Linked DNA regions of Mytilus edulis. The protein of the gene in region 1 purifies or fractionates together with the protein of each later gene. This does not show direct contact. Links are inferred from orthologs where the notes say so. Each region holds a gene or a part of one and is shown in the gene's direction. Other genes may lie near its edges. The genes, in order: activin receptor type-1-like and bone morphogenetic protein 7-like.

The links.
Region 2: the proteins of activin receptor type-1-like (region 1) and bone morphogenetic protein 7-like purify together in Drosophila melanogaster (affinity purification with western blotting, with the first as the bait; 3 studies listed by BioGRID). This does not show direct contact. The link is inferred for Mytilus edulis from reciprocal best matches to the Drosophila melanogaster genes sax and gbb.

The regions. Positions count from the first base shown.
Region 1 is NC_092357.1:58,498,195-58,510,401, reverse strand, and holds the start of activin receptor type-1-like, read left to right. Parts: upstream 1-6,898; 5' UTR 6,899-6,968; coding exon 6,969-7,020; intron 7,021-12,207.
Region 2 is NC_092355.1:13,259,429-13,271,804, reverse strand, and holds the start of bone morphogenetic protein 7-like, read left to right. Parts: upstream 1-7,534; 5' UTR 7,535-7,756; coding exon 7,757-8,183; intron 8,184-11,838; coding exon 11,839-12,022; intron 12,023-12,376. Other genes in the region: uncharacterized protein, read left to right, coding at 1-1. UniProt on the Drosophila melanogaster protein: Required for the growth of imaginal tissues and for patterning of the adult wing.

The DNA.
Region 1 (12,207 bases):
ATTTTTCATCCTAGCCCCCCCCCATAAAAATCAAATGGTAGCTCCCTAACCGAAGATATGACCTTTACCTACACACATAATGAAATCGGCTGTAATACTAAAGCATGACCTTAATGGTTGGTGTTTACTTTGTGCTTTGGTTTTAATCATCCACATGATGTCCGTGGAATTTCTACGTTTTACAGTTGTACTTCCACATATTTTAAACGGTAATCTGCTTTATCAATGATCAACACTTTGAGATGCAGCGATAACCACATGAGCCAGTGACATCAGATTTACAAGTCGTGCTTTTTCTTTATCTGTTCTATACATTGTTATGAGGGTCTTCATTTCTGGATTCTGTAAATTTGCATGCAGCCATTTTGTTTTCTATTTTTACATATTTTGGTCCATTATTTTTTCATTTTTTTTTGGGGGGGTTAGCAACCTATCACTTTTCTTCTTTTATAATTTTGGTCCACCTTTCTCTTATCTTTATTGATTTATGCCAATTATTCTGTACATTTTGCCCATTATTCACTTTTCTGTAAACCCCTCCAGACCATCACATATATGATAGATAAATAGTTGATAAGGGCCGTTCTTGTCCTCCATTTTATTCTAACTTCAGTGAAACAATGAAGGTTCCTTTCTGCGTAGTTTTCTTAGTGTTTGTTTACCTGGCAGGTAATTGACATTTTTAACCTGTATTAAGAAACTCATAACTTTATCTCATATAAAAGCATTTTAGTTTTTTCACTACCTGCGATATTCAACAACCGTTTACGCCGAGTTTAAAAAGACCATTGAAATAGTTTTGCCAATTCTATTATTGCCCATGAAAAATATACAAGTTTATTTTTCACTTAGGAGACACATACCGATGTTTTTACAGGGAAATAGAATCTTTAAAATTTTATTCAACTTTTTTTTAATTATTACATTTAATTTTTTAAAGCCAAAATTGGATATGTAGGCTATACACATTTTTATTATAAATGTTTTATTTTACATATCAATGAAAGGAGACCTGAGACAAAAGTCTGAGAAACAGCAACCCTACAACACAAACGAGTAAAAAAGAAAACTAGATATATTTTAATACAAAAATATCTTTTAAAGTGCTTCACAGATAAAAGATCCAAATTTGCCACTTTTCATTTGTAACCGTGTGCGATTATTAAGCTTGTCTACAGTGCATCCGTCTTTTACTTACCACTAACATTTTCTTTTTTTTTTAACTGCAATTTCGAAAATAATTCGTCAGTTTTACTCCGACCGATTTATTGCTATATCAAGTAGTATATGTCAGTGTATGTCATGAAATTACGTGTCAAACAGAACCTACGATATAGGTTCATGGGGTAAATGCCTTAAGAAATTGGGATTGGAAAAAATGTTTCAAGACATTCAAGAAAAAAAAAGGAGTTTAGAAAAAAAACACCGGATAATTTGCCGTGTGGCCTAATCGTATGCCTTATTTCAGGTTCTACGTATGCTCAACTAATCACACCAACGATAGCTTGTGAGATGAAATGCATTCATGACAAGACAGGCGGTAGTTCAGTTTCTTTTGAATCACAAATCTATACAGACTGTCGGGATTACTGTTTGAAACATGCGTAAGCCATTTTATTAATCAATCAATCAATCAATCATCAGATGGAGGTTAACATACCGGGAAAAAAGAAATTTGAAAATTAAGGAGTGTTTGTTATGCATGTTGGCTATTAAGACAACAGAGACCAAATGATACAAATGGATGTAACTGTAATCCATTGTTTACGGTCTAGCTTCAACAAAGATGTGATGCTACATGTATGTTTTCTTTTTTTTCAAAATCGAAAAAGCAGACTTTCACTTCTTCTTACTACATTTGTATAAACTTCAAGATTTACCTGTATATTTTTAAAACTGGTTTTTTTTCTAAAGTGAATATTTTCGAAGGGTTAAATATTTCGCAGTGGTGACTTGCCATGGCTTTGTTTGGACTTGTTTGTTTGTTTTTTTACCTTGAATTTTTGTCCCTAATATTTTATTAACTGTGCATTTGCATTCAGATATCGCAGATCAAATTTATTCGTTAATAGTGTATTAATGTACGTTTTTTGATTGAGTTAAGCCTGCCAATTGATATTTTACCGTGCGTTTTTCTATGTTGGGATGTTATGCTATTGTTTCAGAAAAAAGGGAGAAGATTTGGATCCATTAAAACGTTTAATCCCGCTGCAAATGTTTGCACCTGTCCTAAGTCAGGAATCTGATGTACAGTAGTTGTCGTTTGTTTATGTAATTTATACGTGTTTCTCGTTTCTCATTTTTTTTATTTTGTATAGATTAGACCGTTGGTTTTCCCGTTTGAATGGTTTTACACTAGTAATTTTGGGGCTCTTTATAGCTTGTTGTTCGGTGTGAGCCAAGTTATTTGGATGGAGAGTTGTCTCATTGGCACTCACACCATATCTTCCTATATCTATTGAATAAATTCTAATGGTTATATGTAAACCAAATAACCCTATCGTTCATGATATAACTATCTCACTTACAATATCAAAAGGATCATGACTGGGCGTTGGAGAGGAAAGAATTATTCGAGTTGTTGATAAATTGAAATTTGATAAATTTGATTGGGGAAAAAAAAACACCAATAGAATTTTTAAAAAAATCGTAGGAACAGCAAACAATTACTTAAGGAATGACTGTAATAATACGAGCGTAGCGGGCTATTTAACAGTGTGCACCACATTTTTATGTTATTTCGAATAGACAGAAAAAATATTACAGTCATTTCTTATAATTTAATTCTAAATTCCATTTTAAACCGTAGAAAAGCATGAAAAAACATTGATGAAGTCACATGACTAAATTATGCCATGAGCTGATAACAAAATAACGTCAGCCAATCAGAAGACGCGTTACTTCCAAAATTAAATTATATCGCAATAAAACAAATGAATATGAAAACTGAGTTTTTACATACAACATATTAATGATACAATATAAGTAAACTGAAATATTTCTACTTACTAAAATTGAGAATGGAAATGGGGAATGTGTCAAAGAGACAACAACCCGACTAAAGAGCAGACAACAGCCGAAGGCTATATATACCAATGGGTCTTCAACGCAGCGAGAAAATTCCGCACCCGCGCGTGAATGCCTCAGCTTGCTAGCTCCTAAATAAAAGTTCATGAAAATGAACGTCACACAATGAACTAAAATTAAAAAAACACACGACTGACAAATAGATATAGAAAGATGAGATATGAGTGTCAATGAAACAACTCTCCATCCAAGTCACAATTTATAAAAGTAAACCATTATAGGTCAAAATATGCTCTTCAACACGGACACCGAACAGTAAGCTATACTGAAAGGGCCCCAAAAAATATACTAATGTAAAACCATTCAAACGGGATAACCAACGGTCTTATTTATATATATATACAATCTAATTAAAAACCGATCTCTCATCGCTCCCGTTTTCTGATATGTCGCGTGGGAGATCTAACGAAACCTGCTTTGAGGTAACAACAACAACAACAACAACAATTTTTATTTGTCAATCAAGACGCCCCGAGGAGCAGTACAATTACAGTTTAAATTAAAGTGTACAAATAATTGTGTTGATTTTTTGTCACATGTGAGTGAACTGGAAGCTATGAATTTATAACGATATGCAAATGAGTTGACGACCTATTAATAAGCCAATCAAAAAAGTTTATGAATTATTTTGACTGACAATTTCGTCGTAAATAAAATGAGTTACATCCCTTTACCTTACGATAACCTTTCAAGATCGTGGAAGACTCAATTTCATTGGCCGAAAAAGACACACCTACGAGGTCACTCACATGTGACCTCAAAGCGGGTTTCGTTAGATCTCCCACGCGACATATCAGAAAACGGGAGCGATGAGAGATCGGTTTTTAATAAGATTGATATATATAAATTAACAGAAACGAGAAACATTCATAAACCCCATCAACAAACTACAATTATTGAACATCATATTTCTGACTTAGGACAGGTGCAAACAATTGAAACGGGTTTAAACGTTTTAATGGTACCAAACCTTTACTTTTATTTGAAACAATAATAGTGTAACATCACAAAAAAGATCAGCACATTATAAAATATCAATTAATAGCTATTTCTATTTCAGATACGATAACTTGGGAAACTTAGGAACACTTGGATGAGCAGTATATATGTTACTAGCACAGTGACCGTACTAAAGAATTAAATATTTAATAAAGAATTCATTTTCACTCTTCAGTTTCATTGTACTTTATGTACACACTTCGTGACCAGATATATATATATATAGAGCATACTAGTCTACGCATGTAAAATTTCTTGTCTGATATCGGATTATATTAAACTGTGCACCACTTATTGCGGACCTGTTTTTGTATTGTTATGAGTTACAATTTATGACTAAAATTAGCAAAGACCCATCAAAACAACATTTGATACAAAAATTTAACAATACTTTTAGATATTTGGATGATATATTGGCTCTAAATAATGACGACTTCAGTATGTATACTAAAGAAATTTATCCTGTAGAACTTACTTTAAATAAAGCTAATGATAACAATGACCACTGCCCTTTCCTCGATCTTGATATCTATATCATAAACGGGAAGCTTACTACAAAAATTTATGATAAAAGAGATGATTTTTCATTTCCTATTGTTAATTATCCATTTTTAGATGGTGACGTTCCCTTGTCACCATCTTATGGTGTTTATATATCTCAACTTGTACGATTCGCTCGTGTATGTAACAATGTATTAGATTTTAGCGAGAGAAATTTATGTATTACTGAAAAATTATTACACCAGGGTTTTCGATATCACAAACTGGTCAAAACATTTACTAAATTTTATCACCGGTATAAGGAAATAATTCGTAAATATAACTCAACATGCAGACATCTTATACGTTCAGGTATTTCACATCCAAAATTTTATGGAAATATTCTTTATAAAGCACAAAAATGTCAGTATTCTCCTCAGAAACTAACAAAACCTTTAAATAGACTTATTAAAAGGGGATATAGTTACGATACTGTTGTCAGGTCATTAAAGATTGCATATTCTGGCTTTAACATTGATTCACTGATAGGGTCTTTGCATCGGAACTAAACACATTTATTTCTAAAAAAAAAAAAAACAGTTGTTGGCATGACACGGGTTATGTTCTTCTCATATATTTTATGATAGTATGATACTAAACCCCTAACGGGAGGGATTGTACCTGATATTCATATGATGAAGACATAATCTTTCAATCAGTTTAATTGAGGTCTGGAGCTGGCATGTCAGTTAACTGCTTATAATATACGTCCCGTTATTGTGCTAATCACGGTAAAACGTGTTTGTTGGTTGTCTTTCATTTTTGCTTTGTGCATTGTGTTATTGTAAAGTGGCAAATTTGTGTATTCTTGTCTTTAATTTTTGCTAATATTTTTTGGTGTTAAGATTATAACTTTAAGTTAATGTTGATTGCTGTATATTTGACATTTTTACTTATTATTTGTTTTGTTCAAGCATCGTTGTCAATATAATGGGATTTGATGCGACTGTCATACAAACTTGTGAGAGTTTTAGCTATAGGTATAAAACCAGGTTCAATCCACCATTTTCTACATAAGAAAATGCCTGTACAAAACCAGGAATAAGACGGTTGTTATCCATGCATTCGTTTGATGTGTTTGAGCTTTTGATTTTGCCATTTGATTAGGGACTTTCCGTTTAGAATTTTCCTCGGATGGAGTCAAGGAAAATAGTTCCGGAACAAAAACGATCACTGTTTTTTTTTTTAAACACGTACGTAAAACTGCGTTGCACTTTTTGTTGTGTAAAATATGGATCATTTTATCAAAAATTCCTAAAGCTACACTTCATAAAATTATCTATTTCTTCAAAAATACAATGAACATATTATCGGCCATATGCCTTTAGTTTCTGAACTTATGCCATAGTATTGGAGCTTTCAAGAATAAATTTTAATTAAGGACATATTATTTCTCTCGCTAATTGATTATAACTTAGACTATTATTCTAACTAAACGTCTCAGATTTTAAAATTACATCACGTTGATTAAGATTATCGTCAATAACTGCTGTGCAAATAACATACAATTAAAAAAAATGTAGCTGCTTATCATTTAATTCGGCGGAGGACATTTTAGCGCATTGATAGGACATATTAGCGAAAATATTTGACGTTTTAGCACCAAAGTAGAACCCATTTTAAATAGCGCCAGAACTTTAACCCATTTTAGCGTTAATTAAAAATTTCAATGCCTATCAGTTTTGCGAAATATATTTAACCCATTATAATATATAATAAATAAAAAAAACTTTAAAAGACTCCTGCAAGACAGCACAATATAATACATAGGTGTCCATTAAAATACAGCACTAACTGTCTAAAAGATTTAATCAATTGGCAAACGTTCGTTCTAGCCTGGATTTTATATCCTAGAGAAAGTATACGTAAATGGCTCTGGATATACCACTAACCCGAATAATTCAGTCGTTATATTCCGCTGATCTACGAAGGCTATATTAACCTCGTGTGGGAGAAAATCGGACACGGAAAGGGCTTGAATTATTCGAGTTAATATACCCCCGGTACAATACTGTTGAATTACATTAGGAACTGTCTTTCTCTTTATTTTGTCTAGATTTTGGTGAACATTCGTATTTTTATAAATGTCTAATCCAAACAATGTTTGTGTTGTCAATAATTTTTATTAATGTCATCAGTAGCAAGGACGTATATGTTAGTTATACGTCCTTGTCAGTAGTAATCTGAAACCCGAGCTGAAAATATTATTGGGAAAACGGACCTTTTTCGTCTGTATTTAAAGATGCTTACGTGTTGGTGCTTGGTTAAATCTAATGTACAAAAACCATGAAAATCACTCATCTGGAACATAGACCTGTCATGGCGAAGTTACGGTGATCATCATGTGGAAAATAGAAATTTTAGTGGCCTTCTCTGTGTTTACTCTCATTTGTGGTAAGTTTTTATAGAAGGGAACAATTGGTTATAATTTTCTATAGCTAAAATATTGTCTTTAATGGCGCTGAATCGATAAGTACATACCATCTTTCCCGTTTCATTGTTTGTAAACAAAGTGACACTGAGGTAGTCTTACAAGGTACATTGTGTATGTAATCTACACAATGTGTATAACACATTCATTATCAAAATTAAATTCTGTTGCATCTGTGTGACTGTCCAGTTATTGGAAGTAAGGGATTATGGATGTTAAAACTTTACAGTTTGTCTGTGATAGACCCCAGACTTCATGGCACCTTTACACAATAATAAACAAATGGGTCATTTTTTTCTTCACTGACTTCAGTGAAAAAATATCTAAATATGGAAATGTAAAAATTGTCGGAAATTACCAATTAGATTTTTTTCGTCTGAACTTTTGAAGAACATTTTTATACTACATGTATAACATTTGTCAGCTGAGTCTTTTTCCTATAAACATGTTATACCATGTGTACTACATGTACTATGACATAGAATTGTGAAAAATTTAGCAAAATTTCCAATAAATGAATCCATTATCTTGAATTACTGAGAAGTTATAAGCCTATGAAAACTAAGTTTTTAGCACTATCAAATGAATACACAAATGCGGGATTATTACTCATTTGGGGAATAGTTCCCCATTACCATTTGGTGGGGTGTCCCCTACCTGTTAAATGAAATCTTGTATCATTTTATGCATGCACTGGTGGAGGCACAGGTACAAGCACGGAATATTTTACAGAATTTTAGCTTAGCTTCATAAATATCCTGTACTACTCTACCAGTGTAGATTGGAGTCTTTCCCAATGTTGGACCGTGAAAAAGCAGATAACTATCAACCTGATCAAGACGAAGTTTTTTTATTGCATATATTAAATTATCAGATTTTTGAGACATTTTTTTCATGTGCAAAATATGTTTGATTGATTAAAAAAATTTAATTCATGTCACTTTTGTGCAGGGTTCTCACTAAGGCGAGTCCATGAGTCCTGGACTCATCAAAATCTCTCTGGACTCATCATTTTCAAAACTAGTGAGTCCACAGATGCATCAAGATAGAAATATTTTGTATAAACTAAACACAGTTAAATACAAATATCATCAGTTTATAGCAAAAGTTTAAAAGTAATCTGAATTTAATGTCATTTCATTGCTCTGTTAGACCATGAGACTTAAATATTACATTATATTGCAATAAAATATCTTCTCCTTGCTGTTGGACTCACCATGGCCAAAAATGACGAGTCCCTGGACTCGCCTTCTAAAATCCATAATGAGAACCCTGCTTTTGTGTACACTTGTAATGTATTAAATCTGATAAGGGGAGATAACTCAGATAATTTGACTTTTTGAATGCATTTTTTTGAAGCTATATTCAGCACTTTGTAATTTATTTTAAATTTTGTCGTTATATTTATAATTTCTAAATCTATTTTTCTGTAGAATGCTCTTTAAATTACCTGTTAAATTGTTACGAAAAATGTGAATTTTCACAATCTGTAGCTAAAAACAAGCTTTCAATAAATGAAATTATCTGAGTGATCTCCCCCTATTGAATTTATATAATTTTGGAAACAGTTGATTTGAATTATGCTACATGTATATAAAATTGAAATTGAATAAAAAATCTTGCATTTTTTACATGTTTAACCAATATCTTAAACAACAAGTTATTATTTTGCTTTTTAAATTAGTTGTTTAAATGAGGTTTTTTTTACAAGAAGACCTATGACAGATCATGACGATGTATGACATTTTTGCAAAGTTGGTAATTACTAGACTTGGATTATTTGGTGTGTTACCCATATTCATAAGGACACAACATGTATCATACAGTTATATTGCATGCATAGCTAGTTGGCATACATACAATGTACAATGTATAATGACTAAAGATCTAGAGGGTCTCTAAAGGATCAGATTGAGAAAATAACAGGAATAAGAAGAAATAATCTCATCTGACTGATGCAGTAACAGTTATTGCAAGTCAAGAGCCTCTGGCCTTTGTTAGTCTTGTAGGATTTTTAATTTCAGTTTTTTTGTGTATAATTCAGAGTTTATTATGACGTCCATTATCACTGAACTAGTATATATATTTGTTTAGGGGCCAACTGAAGGACTCCTCCGGTTGTGGAAGTTTCTTGCTGTGTTGAAGACCCATTGGTAGCCTTCGGCTGTTGTCTGCTCTATGTTCGGGTTGTTGTCTCTTTGACACATTCCCCATTTCAATTCTCAATTTTATGTATTCCAAAATTTCAAAAATGTTCTTGTAAATAAGCTTAAGCTTGTTAAAAATTTCAAAGGCCCTTTGGTGGGGAAAATTTGGTTGATTATATAGAGAATCACTGAAGAATGATGGGAACTGGCCCCCCTTTAGGTCAGTCAGTGGCCCCCCATTTAAAAGTCCTGGATCCATGATGTAAAAGAAACACAAATATGGGGTACCCATCAATGACACTGTCACACAAGATCAGTACAAAAATACACATATAAGAAAGAAGATGTGGTATGATTGCTAATGAAAAAACTGTCCACAAGAGACCAAAATGACACAAATTAACAACTAAAGGTCACTGTAAGGCCTTCAACAATGAGCAAAGTCCATACCCCATAAGTCAGCTATAAAATGCCCGAAATGACAATGTAAAATGCACCGTAAAAAATATCATGAATATGCACACACAAAGCAAAGGAACAGCACATACAACATGCATTTATATACATTTCTTTTATTTTAATGGTAAAGATTTATGCTTCGTCCCTGGTTAAACATAAATTTAATTACACTGAGACTCTTCATTCTAATCTACCTACATATATACATGATATACATTTTGTGTTCATGATACTATTCTTTTATTTTATATATCGTAATTTAAAAAGCTGGCAACAGAAAGGTGGTAGGTTGTTGGATAAATTTATTTTTGAACGTCACTGCACCTGAGAAAGTATAATGAAGTAAACCTTTTTTTATCCTAGTATGCATTAGTGAAAGAAATTTTCATTTATTTGTGTTTATTCAATAAATCCCCCAGTAATGTAATTAATTTTTAGAGGCGTGATTTTCACGCGATTTTTACTATGAATTATATTAGGACACCTGGTGAGAGTTTCAATACAGTACCAATTGAATTGACATCTATATTCAGCGCTACTGATCTCTGCTTGTAAAATCTTCGCCATAAAATGTACCTCGTATGGTGTACCACGTTGACATAAAGACGAAAGAAGCAGAAACGTCGTGTTTTTCTTTCTTTTTCGTCCATGCAGTACTAATCTGATTACAACAGAAAAATGAATTTTATTAGCTTTTTTTTAACAGATTAAATTGTGTAGGAAGTTATTTAAATTTTTTAGTTTGAGAGGTTGAGAAATGAACAGTTAATAATATAATGATGATGATTTAGAAAAATCTGATTACAACAGAATAATGAATTTTATTAGCTTTATTTTAACAGATAAAATTTTGTAGGAAGCTATTTAATTTTTTTAGTTTAAGAGGTTGAGAAATGAACAGTTAATGATCATCATGATGATATAATGATGATTATGAAGCTCGTTTTCTTCTCTTGAAATTTAACCTTTGTTCATTTTCTATTTCAACTTCTGGTCATTTAAGTAACATCCAGCCTGTCCAGAAAATAAGGATGCATTGTAAAATAATTTGAAGAAACATTATTTTCTATGTTAAAAATGGGTAGTTATATGTGTATATATACATGTTAACCATCATAAGGCATGATTTAGAATGAATTAGATATTGGAGTGGAGCAAAATATTTTTTTTTAAAAGTTGATCAATTTTAGATACACATGCTTATATATGACAGGGGCAGATCCAGCCATTTGAAAAAAAGGGGGTTGGTTCCTAACCCAGGACAAAAAAGGGGGGGGGGAGTTCCAACTACATGTCCCCATTCAAATGCATTGATCGTCCAAAAGAAAAAGGGGGTTCCATCCCCCGGAACTCCCTGGATCCGCCACTGTATGCAGTCAAGTACCATCCCAGAAATTCAAGATATATATATATATATATATATATAAAATTTTATGAAAATATTTACTTAATGTAAAAAAGGGGTAGTTTCATATGTACATGTGCATGTTACTTTTTCTTAGACATGATTTGGAATGCAATATTATAGAGGAGCCAAATGATTTTTTTTTTGGAAATGCTGAACTAACTTTTGTTACCCATGGTAATTTTTTAAAATTTTCAAAATACATACAGATGTTAAAGTTAACCTCATCTACCAACGTTAAGTTTTTAATTATGAAAATATGCATGTAATATGCACCTGCACCTTGCATGGATGATGGATTTTAGACATATTTGATATATATGCATAGTGCTTTGTTCCGCTGATAAGTTTTGAAAACTTTTTTTTTTTGCACATGCATTTCCGACATAGTCACGTTAATAACTTTTCCATGTTCCTTTAAGAATTTGTCAAATATTTTGACAAGTATTAAGAGTAAGATTAAAGGGAAAGTTTTAATATGTTTCATTGAGATACGAATTAAATGTCGAATCATGAATATTTATTCACGGGTTTAAGTCCAGGTGTTTCCTGAATAGGATCAAACTTAATACCACAAAAGTTACAAGGATCGCCACCCCATATTTAAATTTCAGGCCATACAAATGTTATCTGTGTGTATCTAATTTAAGTTGGTTACCGTGAGATCGATTAATATAACTATTAAATACAGTGAATGTCTATGTATTATAGTGTCTTAGGACATCCATTTTTTTTGTACGCAAAAATCAGTTTAATATGAATAAAATGAGAATTTTTTTTTATTGGAATATTTAATGAAATTTAAAATTTAAAATTTTTAAACAAGGTCATATTTTCATAAGTGACAACAAGAAAAGTTTTGAATCTGCCAAAATAATAAAGTTCTGATAAAATATTTTGTATACCTTACGGTACATGTATATTTAATGCAAATTGCAGAATTTTACAACCGTGAAAATAACCCATTATAGAGCATTGTTCAGTATTATATATGACTTAATAATAGCTCTAAAAATTGGCCCCATTCTAGCAGAATTGTAATATTATTAATGGTAATTGGTTTATTGTGAGAATGGGTGCTAGGAATTTGTGACTAAAAAAGCATTTACAATTTTAGAATTAAGCTAATCAATGTTTTC
Region 2 (12,376 bases), on another chromosome or scaffold:
AAAGTAATAAATTAAAAAGGCTGTAAATTACTGATGTATTTTTTTTTCTTCTTTTTCTCAATAGAGACAGGTATATGTGGTCTTCATATTTCTCCATAATGAGAAGCGATAGCTATAGGTATATATAATACATGCAGGCTAAATTGTTTCCCCTTTATTTCGTCAAGAGTTTGTATGGGTCGACATATGTAGAAATGGGGTATACATCAATGGAATATCTGTTATATGATATCGGATATGTTCCTTATGTCGTAACTACAATCCCGTTCCCTTTTCACGACTGTGACCTACCGGATTAGACTGTTTACCTTTATTTGTGACAGTTTTACATATTGTGTCTGTTTTGATCACGCATCATTATCACTATTATTAAATATGATGCGATTGTCGTACAAGTGAGAGGTTTAGTGCTATACAACCAGGTTCAATCCACCATTTTCTACATTTGAAAATGCATTTTCCAAGTCAGGAATATGACAGTTGTTGTCCATTGGTTGGATGTGTTTTATTATTTGATTTTGCCATGTGATTAGGGACTTTCCGATTGAATTTTCCTCGGAGATCAGTATTTTTGAGATTTTACTTTTTATATAACATCCCAACGACACAAAAATAAAACATGCACACTCATGCCCAAATGCAATCTTCAAAGAGAAAGACAATTGTCTGCACAATATGCCAAGTAGTCACTTCATTAAAATTTTGTAATGATTTTAAAAAAATTGAAGCAGAAATACATGTAGTGTGTGCTATCAAAATTAAAGAAATGCCATTTTTAAAGTAATCTAATTTGCATGAAACAATTAGACCCACTGACGGTTATTTGACTGTGAACTGTAAAATATACATGTTTTAATTTTATATACACTCTTTGGAAAAACTGTTGCAAAGGATTTTTTTAATCTTTAAAGCAAATCGTATGGAGTTAAACATTACCGTATAGTGGGTTTGTTACACAGTATCATTTGAAAAGATCAAAACAGACATTGAGCAAGAAACATACATATCTATTTAAAAACACATTTTATAAAAGAAAATTTCTTAATATTTCTATAGTATTAGCGTTAAGCATGTCCAGTTTGCTAAATATGAATCGCATATAGCGATTTTCACCAGTTGTTAGGGATGTACGAGTTCCCGTGTACCCGTGCATTCAATTTTGATCTCCGATATCAGACTTTAATCAATGAATTGTTTTCAATGTTTGAACGAAAATATTTTCTCACTGTCGCTGAAAATTATTTGTGTATACTTTAATGTGTAAAAAAGTAAATATAAAATCCAGTCAAGTAATGACCATTACTCTTTATTGTATGTGTGTCGAATTGTTTATATAAATCAGTATATAATGACTATAGTTTTTCTTACTTAGAAAAATAAGAAAAAAGATGTTAGATGATCTATACCTTAAGTAACAGATTTTTTTCAATATCCATGCTTATACATCGTGCATGCGAGTAAACAAAGTAACAGACAGTGGCCTTCCGTCACAAGTCGGCAGATTCCGTGAAGAAGAGTAGCGTATTTATACCACGGTGGGTATGGTTGTCCTGCGAGAGAACGTTCTGTGCTGGTGATTTGGTCCTGTCAGGTGCTGGTGGGTCCTGATTCTGTGCTGGTGGGTTTGTTTACATTGTATCAGGACGGCAATAAAACGACTGTTTTGTTGCTTAATTTTTCTCTGATTCGTCATAAGTACCATGCAAAGTATATTACAACAATATTATATTGCAAAAGTCGTGCAAGTTCCTTAAACGGAATTGTCCTGACGCTGTGCTGGTGATAAGAAAAACGGTCCTGGTTCTGTGCTTCTATGTCCTGGTTCTGTGCCTTTATATTTTAGTTAAAAATGGCACATATTCAAGATCATTGATACTGTTATTGACTAATTAACTGTTGTCTGCTTTCTTGAAATTGACATTGTTGTGAATCTGTTTACTGTTAATATTATGAGAGAGAAAAAATAGCCCTATTTTTTTTATTTTTTTTTAAATTAACTGTAATCTTATATATTGGCCTGTTAATGGAACCCTTCTTGCCCCCTTTTAAGATAAGAAAATATGTTTACGATTTTCGGGATTACGATCATTTTGCAAGATCACCAAAATACGTTGTAATTTATACAATACTTATATAAAGTAGATGATGTGGTATGTTTGTTGTCAATGGACAAATTTCCATAAGAAACCAAAGGAAGTATGTGTTAACAACCATACGTCATCGTACGACCTTCAACAATAACCCATAAAATAAAAATGTAAAAGGTTTTGCATAAAAATGGAGAGCAAAAATATAGAACAAAGGACTTTCTGAACGTTTGAATCATATGTCTTTAGCAGCTTAAAACACATTTCTTTGTGAACAATTTAGTGCTGACTATAAGAATGACAATAGTATTGCGGGTTTGTTTGGTTTTTTTTTTTTTTTTTGGAGGGGATGGGGGATAAGTTAGAACGAGGTTACAGTGAAAGTTTTAAGCTTGGAATAGTTTCTCGTAAGATTTAAAAGTTGTATTTTAAAAGAAAAATGTATCTTATAGCTATTAAGAATCACTTGCTGTATCTGTAAGATTTTTTCAACATAATTTTTTTGTCTGAACGGTTATAAGGTATTTTTTTTCGAAAGTTCGATAGAACACTAAAAAAAATCACTATTTTATGAAAGGGCAGGCTAGAATATGTCAGAGAATGAAGACGAGATAACCTTTGTACAGAGATTTTTGTTATGTTTAGCATGGGATCAACACAAGGGTACATATAAAGATCTATTTAAAAGTATTTGAAACTACTTTGCTTTGTTAATTGTGCCTTCAATTTCAAATATTTCAAATATCTCGTAGCTTCATACTACCAATTGAGTATAAAACAAGTATATAAGTTTAAAAAAAAGAAATTCTTAGATTAAACACCTACATTTAACTTTTAAAGGTCATAACAGTTTAAAACAATACAAATCTACACACACAAAAAACTGGCTTACTTTCAAATGGTTATCAACCCGAATCGCTATAAGATCATATATAAGCTCACCTGTGTCGAGGGGTCGTGTGAGGTTCGTGTATTGTCTTGGCGTCCGCAATTACAAAAAGATCTTTTCTGAAATTACTTGACCAAATGTTACCAAATGATTTTTCAAGAGTGAATCTAGGAAAAACAATATTCATCAACAAATATGACCACTGCATGTCTATTAAAATGTATTCGAGTTTTTATTTACAGCTGATTCCATTGAGTATGTAGGCAAAGGTAATATCTTTGGTTAGCTTGCTTGTTACCTAAACCGTGAATTCATTGTTAAGTAAGGTATACTACCCTCCTTTCGAAGTAGCCTGGTCCTACATACAGAAAGATGTGTCCTTTGTCGGACTAGTCTACTCGTAAAGTTTACTTAACCCAACAATGACTTTTCTGTTCAGCAAGCAAGATAACTAAAGATATTCCCTTTGTCTACACACTCATTGAAATCGACTTTAATATTGCAAAAGTTCAAGCAATTAGGACAAAACCTACCGAGTAACAAAAAATCAAAAGGCCAAGGTCTATCTACCTTGCACATTTCAGAAAATTCAGATCAGATAACGAAACTGGGTCCAGCAACATTTATAAGCAATTTAAGATTTTGACCCTCACAGTTTCCATTCACCACAAATATTTCGTTACAACGAATCATTTTGAATACAAAAATACCAGTTGCAGCCTTTTGTGTATCTATTTGTGTATCTATTAATATATGTATACGGATAGAGCTATGAAAGATAGCAGGGTCACCAGGGTGAGGAGCCCATTGACACATAAAATGAATTATATAGTATTGTGGAACTTTTAACTTGTGTTCAATTTATTGGTTTCACCTTTTACTATGATAACAATCCTGTCAAGTATGAGCTGGGGAAAATATTTCAGAAAAGAAGATGGAAATGTGAAAGTTTCCGTGTGTCAGGTACAACAGCATACGAACAGCTAACATGCCTCGTCAGGGTAAAAGCTAAAAAGTCCACAAAAATTTGATTTAAAGCCTTTATTCGTTCCAACAAAGTTATTGAGATTTTGTTGAGGATTCATTTTAACCATCTACGACAACAAGATTTTTTTTTTTTTTAGAATTTACAGCTCTTCTATAAATATATGCGGAGCGCTAACAAACATGTCTATGCGGCATATGCTTTGATAATTGTTGAAGCATCAATGTAAGGGGCATTTAATATCTTAATAAAACTATTCTTATTTTAGATACTATATATTGTTATCTGATATAATATCAGATAACAATATATAGTATCTAAAATAAGAATAGTTTTATTAAGATATTAAATGCCTTATCTTAATAAAACTATTCTTATTTTAGATACTATATATTGTTATCTGATATAATATCAGATAACAATATATAGTATCTAAAATAAGAATAGTTTTATTAAGATATTAAATGCCCCTTAAAACTATTCTTATTTTAGATACTATATATTGTTATCTGATATAATATCAGATAACAATATATAGTATCTAAAATAAGAATAGTTTTATTAAGATATTAAATGCCCCTTACATTGATGCTTCAACATTATTGGACGAAAGATGTTGCCCTTTTATGTAATTATGTAATACTAGTTACGATCATTTGAAAACACATATTAAACAGCCAAATGGATGCACAAGAGCTAAAATAGGAGTCATAGATCCTATTGACAACAATTATCTGCCCAATTTTATTGATTTTGTAACATTTGTTTCAAATATGACCAACTTCTTATCCAAAATCACCAGCACCGTATCAGGACCCACCAACACAATGACAGGACCCACCAGCACAGTATCAGGACATGAATAAATTGAGAAAATGCTAAATTTTAATAAATTGCAATGTTTTTCACAAAATAGTTTTGTCGTGTGGATTGCGGTATAGAAAGCGGACTCTATGAGCATTTTTGTTTTATTTTTTCAGTTCTAGATTTTCTGAAAATGAGCATTTTTGTGTTACGCTTACTGAAACAGTTTAGAGGGTCAACTTTTTAATGGTTTACATATGAACCCATAAGAAACAAAATTGAAAAGTCTCAACTGTTTTCTTCCATTTTTTATGAGTGAAAACGTCAAAAATCATCATTTTCGTCTTTGTTTACATTTTTTCATTGATCACCAGCACCCGTCAGGACCGAATCACCAGCACAGAACGTTCTCTCGCAGGGCAACCATACCCACCGTGTATACGAGGATTGACAAATGAGAAAGTGGCAACGCCTCTTTCAGACTGACATATTTACTTAAACATGTAAAATCCTCGCATTCTTATATATATTTACCTTTTCATGTTGATTAAGTTAAAGATAACAAATACGTTTGTATATAATTATTAATTGCATTTACATAACTTTGTCGATGTAACAAAAACATGCATGTCAAACACACTGTAATAGAATATTTAATTCAACAGATCACCAGAATAATTGACGTATAATTCGTACTACGTCATGGGTTTATGCGGTTACTTAATTGCATTAAAACAAAACATCCCCACATCCTCAGACATCAAAAGACAGTTATAAAATAAGATATATCAATGCACTTTGCAGGTTAGATTAATCAATGAGCTGAGTTAATTTCTAGTATTTTGAAATACGTCTGACTTTGTAGTTTAACCAAAAAAAATCTAGTACATCAAAAGTACACGTACATGTAAGTGCGGTGTCTTGGCTGTATGTAACGGAACAACCTGATCACGAATATAAATATAATGTGATTTTATACTACTGTTTCAGAAAAGGGAGAAGGTTTGGTACCATTAAAACGTTAAATCCCGCTGCAATTATTTGCACCTGTCCTAAGTCAGGAATCTGATGTTCAGTGGTTGTCGTTTGTTTATGTGGTTTATATGTGTTTCTCGTTTCCCGTTTTTTTTTTGTTTTTTTTTTTATAGATATCATAAGACCGTTAGTTTTCCCATTTGAATGGTTTTACTAGTATTTTGTAGGGCCCTTTATAGCTTGCTGTTCGGTGTGAACATAGGCTCCGTGTTGAAGACCGTACCTTGATCTATACCACACCTTCCTATATCTATAAGATAACAATTAATCATAGGACAGGACAACAAGGGTTAAGAGAGAGAATTGGTTAGCACAGTTAGGATAAGGAGGTTGTGTTCCACTATTCGGGCCTAACTTGGACACCAATTACTTAACCGTTGGTAGTTAACTTTTTCATTTAAATCATGTCACGGAACTTACATGTAACTTAAAATAAATATTGAAAGATAAACTGTGATATAAGGGGAGATAGTGTAGATTTTTCAACAATTTTTTTAACAAGAAAACAAATAAATTTGTATTTCCTTTTTTTTTTTAATATACACAGCTACTTTTGCATAGGTACTATTTCGGTACTGGAAATTTACTTTTAATATTTAGAACTATTTCTCTAATTGTAATATTTAGGTACTTGTATTTTACAGTACTTGATTTGTACTAAATATTTTGGTACAGAAATAATACAATATTCCATGTTTGAAAATCATAATTTTAAGAGATTTGAAATAGAAAAACTTTCAAAATGCTGAAAATGTAACGATAGCAACCAAGAATCTGTAGTACCTAAATTTCAAGTACAAATTAACGAACGATGGCTTTTATACTACAGTAACTGTTTAATTTGGTTCGACAATTCATTTATCCTGCGGCAAATAGCCAACTATTGTACAAATAACAGGTATACAATTTTTGTCTTGTACACTTGAAATAAATTCTCTTGTTATTCCTGTTGAGCAAGCGGTAACGTGGATATTTCTTTGCGTAACAGTTCATTTTGGGGCCCTCTTCGCGATCCGCGTTTATACATGTACGATGTCGCTTTCTTTCGAAAACTAGAATTTCAAGTGTTGGTGTAATTTACGGGAAGAGTCAATATATTGACAAAAAATATCAAATTTATTTGTACTCGCTACAAACAGTAGAATATAAAAAGCTCGGCGAGCCTCGGTTTTCGTCCTTTTTCTAAAGCTCATAGATAATCCCGTACTTTATTATAACAGGCAATACGTGACATTTCCGCAGTTGCCTTCATTTCTGAATTATATTTTGAACAATATATTTTTGAAATTTGAATTATATAAGTGAAGATTAATTTCAACGTTTGATCGAATTGCAAATAGAGTAAAAATTTAACTGGTTTGATAATAAATATTACATTAATTTTAATTTGTGCATGTGGCAGGTCTAATTCGGCCTTTAAAAAAAAGAAATTACAAAGTCATCAAATATCGATGAAAAGTATTGTTTTTCAGTTATCAGTTCATTTAACCTGTAAATTAAAGTATACTGAAATAAATAAAATAAAATAAATAAGATTGAAAGGGGCTGAGGAAAGGGGAGGGGTGTTATATCACCCTTCAATAGTTTTCTTTTTTCTTTCTATCAACAAATACTTTAAAACAGTTTTAACATATTTGATGTATGTTAAATGAATAACCATACTGCACCTGTCGGGATATTTGTTTATTACTTACCGGTATATCTCACCTGTTTATATGTGTGTAACCTATGTGCAGACAGGGGAACCACTCAATACAAAGAAAACGTAATTAACGCGGTAAAAATAGATTTCATTTGGATAGCTAGAGAAATATAGAGAGAATATAGTTCTAAAACTTATCCTTACGATCTGATAATTAATGGATACATATGGAGATTATATTTAAAATGTGTTCTTAAATCAACGTGTTTACCTGACTAAGTTCTAAAGAATGTATATGTTTGTAAATAACGTGAATGGGGCGAATGTCTGTACAGGTAAATAGGTACACATTTAACATGGTGGTGAACTTACACATTTCTATAGTTGTTGTACTTTTAATATGTTGTGTAGACGATATAGTATGCTGGTCTTCAGGATATTATATAGACAATGGTGTGGATCAGACGGAAAAATTACATGAAATCAACCCGAGGAGTAAGCGAGAGCTCCAACAAGAGATTTTGACACTGCTTGGATTACACCATCGACCAAAGCCAAAGGTGCATACTAATGACTATTCTGCGCCTCGTTTTATGTTAGATTTATACAATACTATTGCGGGTGCGGATGGAATTTTATTAGATGACACGCCATCATTCAGAATAGCAGGGAATATATCTATTGGGGATATTATTGAACCGATACAAGGTGCAGACGTTATCATGAGTTTTGTTAATCGTGGTAGGTATAAACAGATAAATAATGTGAAATGCCTTTTCTGAAAAAGGGGGAATGTGGGAGCGCGAATTGTCTCCCTTTTTGTCATGCCATTGTTTTTGGGTTAAGAGTTTTCAAAATTTAAGATATATTTTCTAGACATCCCGTCCTTATTTGTTTATGTAAATGTATTCTAAGATACAATTTGAGATTACTATTATCACTATGGTTATAAGACTTTAAAAAAGAAGAAATGGACAAATAAATACATGTACCGCCCCCCCCCCCCTTTTAAAGAAAACCCTTTTTCATATTCATTCTCCGTGTAAAACATATTGTAGAGGTGGTATTTATAAATAAGTTTAGAAGAAATGTTTATTTTTCTTTTATATTTTTTTTAGACTGTTAAAAAAGGGGGCTCTCAGTTCAAGATTTTCATACTATTATCGGTTTAATTCGTATTTAAATAACCTGTGTTTCATGCATTTTAGAATCAAACCGTGTTTTTGAAATAATTTCCCTTTATTACAACAATAATGATGATTTGTCGGTGTTAATTTTGTTGACCTCATTTAATGGAGAGAGAAAAAAAATAATCACCAATTTGACCAGCCCACAAATACAACGAAATAATAAGTAAATAATAATATTACTCGCAAATCTACAGAAAAATTAAGGAAAACAAATAGCGAAAGAAAATTAGGGCAAAACATACGGAATTGAGAATAATCATGATAATGAAGAGCGTAAAATATAACATGTATAAGGAAAGAGAACGGGAAAGACATATTAATTAAATAGAAAAACACTTGAATTTATGTTCATACACAGTAATGATCTTCCCTCATACAGACCCTCGTGCAATGTTCATCACCTTAAAAAAAAACTTTACTTGGCTTATAAAGTTAATGGTACTAGAATTTTTCTTTTAATTTCTTTATTATTAATATGAGTTGAAATCCCTGGGCTGGTTTTTCATAGATCTGACATTGTAAATGTTTTCTTTAATATATATATTCGTTAAATATAGTATGTTTGCGCAGTTCATCACGACGATAACAAAAATAAATTGACAACAAAATTTCTATAATTACCGTGATTATAGGGTTTACATTTCAAACAAGATTATTTTTTTTACCTATATTAGACTTGTATATGTCGTTCATTGGTGTACCTTTCACAAACGACAAACCTAAAATGTCAACTGATTTTTACCTTTGTAAAACACAGGTGTTTTGACCATTAAAACGACAAAGTAATTAGTCAATATATCTTTCTTACAAGTAAATTACGTATAATTGTAACATGTACAATGGGTTTCTTTCTAACAGTACAAACCACTTTAGATATAAACTATTTCTTTTAATTCACCCACACTTTTATTTTATTGAAATGTCCTGAAATATTTCAATTTATATTTCCGATAATTGTTGTGTCGTTACTTTTATACAAGTATATTGTAATGTTGATCACTAGACAGTATAAGTTGAAGGTCAAATGTTTATTTTGTAATGTTGATCACTGGGCAGTGAGTTCAATGGTTTATTCCTTGAACTCGGATTTGGTCTGTATTATTCAAACGTAGCGGGAATGGTGAAAGTCACATTAAATCAATTGAGTGTGTCTTCATAATGCTGTAACGTTGCTAAATCTCCCAATCGTGTGTATGGGCTAACAGGGGCGGATCCGTGATTTTTGAAAAGCTTTCTGTAAAAATTCTAAAAAAACGGGTAATTAAGAATGGACGATAATATGCTTTGAAAAATCTTATACCATGATAATTTTCATAATAATTATGTGTATGCCCTCTTCTCCTGGATGGACACTGGCTATTGTACATTTATCAAATATATGTTAAATCACTAAGACACCTGTCTCTCATCTGATATTGGGACTGGGTATGTTTTTTTATTATTATTTATTTAACAATAAAACTGAGAATGGAAAAGGGGAATGTGTCAAAGAGACAACAACCCGACCATAGAACAGACAACAGCAGAAGGTCACCAACAGGTCTTCAATGCAGCCAGAAATTCCCGCACACGAGGGCGTCCTTCAACTGACCCCTAAACAAATATATATACTAGTTCAGTGATAAAGAACGCCATATTTAACTCCAAATTGTAAACAAGAAACTAAAATTAAAAATAATACAAGACTTACAAAGGCCAGAGGCTCCTGACTTGGGACAGGCGTAAAAATGCGGCGGGGTTTAACATGTTTATGAGATCTCAACCCTCACCCTATACGGAATACAGATGTACCTCCGGCCAATGTAGAAAAGTAAAACATGTTTAAATCCAACGAAGTGTGTTGGTAGAGTACAAAAGGGTTCGATAATTTTCACATCATAACACCATGTTCTCGTTCTAAAATACATGAAATATTTGCCACTGAACGTCAAAGTACTAATCCATTCATCTATCGTATGTGGGGGCATGTTTTCGTTTATGTACCAAGCATGTTTAAATCCTAATAAGCGTGTTCGGTATAGTAGAAATAGGTTCGTCACATCCTAGAATACATGATATATTTGCCACAGGACGTCAAAACACTAATCTGTCCATCCAATCCCTATCACATCACAAGCGTTCGATTGCGTGGAATAAAAATATACTAAGGCCAAATTGATATATATATATATACACACGGCCACCGAGATAAAAGTAAATGTTCAAGACGTTTTTGGTGTTACACCATAGTCTACAAAATGTGTTAGGTTAGGTATGACAATACAGAAAAGTTAAGGACACATTAAACATAATTTTATGCTTTGGCCTAAATGAAGATTTTAGGCGTGATTCAAACTTATTCAATACTACATTAAAAAAAAACTTTATATCAAGATCTTAATTTTGTGTAGTCAATGAAGTATTCAGAATTCAAAAACTATTTATACCTTCTTTTTCAAGATTTTGAATTCCCAATCACATGCCGAAGCATTAGTCTAAAAATTCCGTTTTGGCTCAAGGCCGAAACAGTAAATTACTATATTGAATAAACATCCTTCTAATAGGCTACGTATAATTAAATTACAGATGGTTTTACATGTGTTCATCTTGCACTAAATACTAATAAAATAGGGTTAAAGATGTTGGCAGCTCTTTTCTGTTGGAAGTTTTGGCATTTCATTAAATATTATTGCATAGTAAATGCACTCGGGTCATCATAAAAAAGTACTTGCGTTTTGATGAGATTTCAGTATACGCCTTTTGAATGCTTAAACATTGTTACTTTTAAGTGTTATTGTCGAACCGTGTGTCCCTATGTAGTCTATAGGCAAAAGAAAAGAACAGTAGAAATAGACAGAAAAGTGAAATCTAACTCATATCTTAACATACATGTACCTGTACCTTATTTTTCTAACATACAATCGAAAGAATGGGGGTCTTTCGTAAGAAAAGCCCATATGTCCTTCGCCATATACCAGTTTAATGAAAGCGAACATCTAATCTATAGGAATGTATCCCCATTTTATATTTATCTTTGTTTTACAAAACTAGTCGATTAGTCTAAAATTATTCATTTTAAGATGCAAAGAAAGGCAAACCATTAGCCAATAAAAAGAAAATGTTAAGCTAAAAAACAAAATCTACACAACAAAACGTTTAAGCGTACAAAGTTACGAGAATATTTGATTTAATTCAATAATCATGATAAACGACTTTCTATTTTTCAGCCAAAAAAGTTCCACATTTACGCCACGAAAAAGACCGGACGTTTTTCTTTGATTTTAGTGAAGTGACAGTTGAGGAAAAAGTAGTGAAAGCTGAACTTAGGCTTTTTAAAGATAAAGCTAAAAAGTGGAAAAGTAATGATTTTCAGATTCAGATATACATGATAAAACAAGGACCGGATCCCGAGTAAGTTATTTTAGTTTAATAGAAATAAGAAGATGTGTTATGATTGCCAAAAAAAAAAAAAAAAAACGTTCCACCAAAGTTTAAATGACATAGAAGTTGTCATAGACGTAGACATAGACATGTTTATTATTACTAAATACACATGAAATAGTTGTATGAGATTTTTCAAATAACATAAAACTATTAAACCAATTAATTCATCAAAGTTTCTAGTCTCGAATTAAAATTGGTTTTATTGCTCAGACAATGGAAGAAGTTTCGGGGAACATATGTTTAAACAGTATAGGTAACAAAGGTACCAGGATTATAATTGGGTACGCCGGACGCGCGTTTCGTCTACATAAGATCACTCAT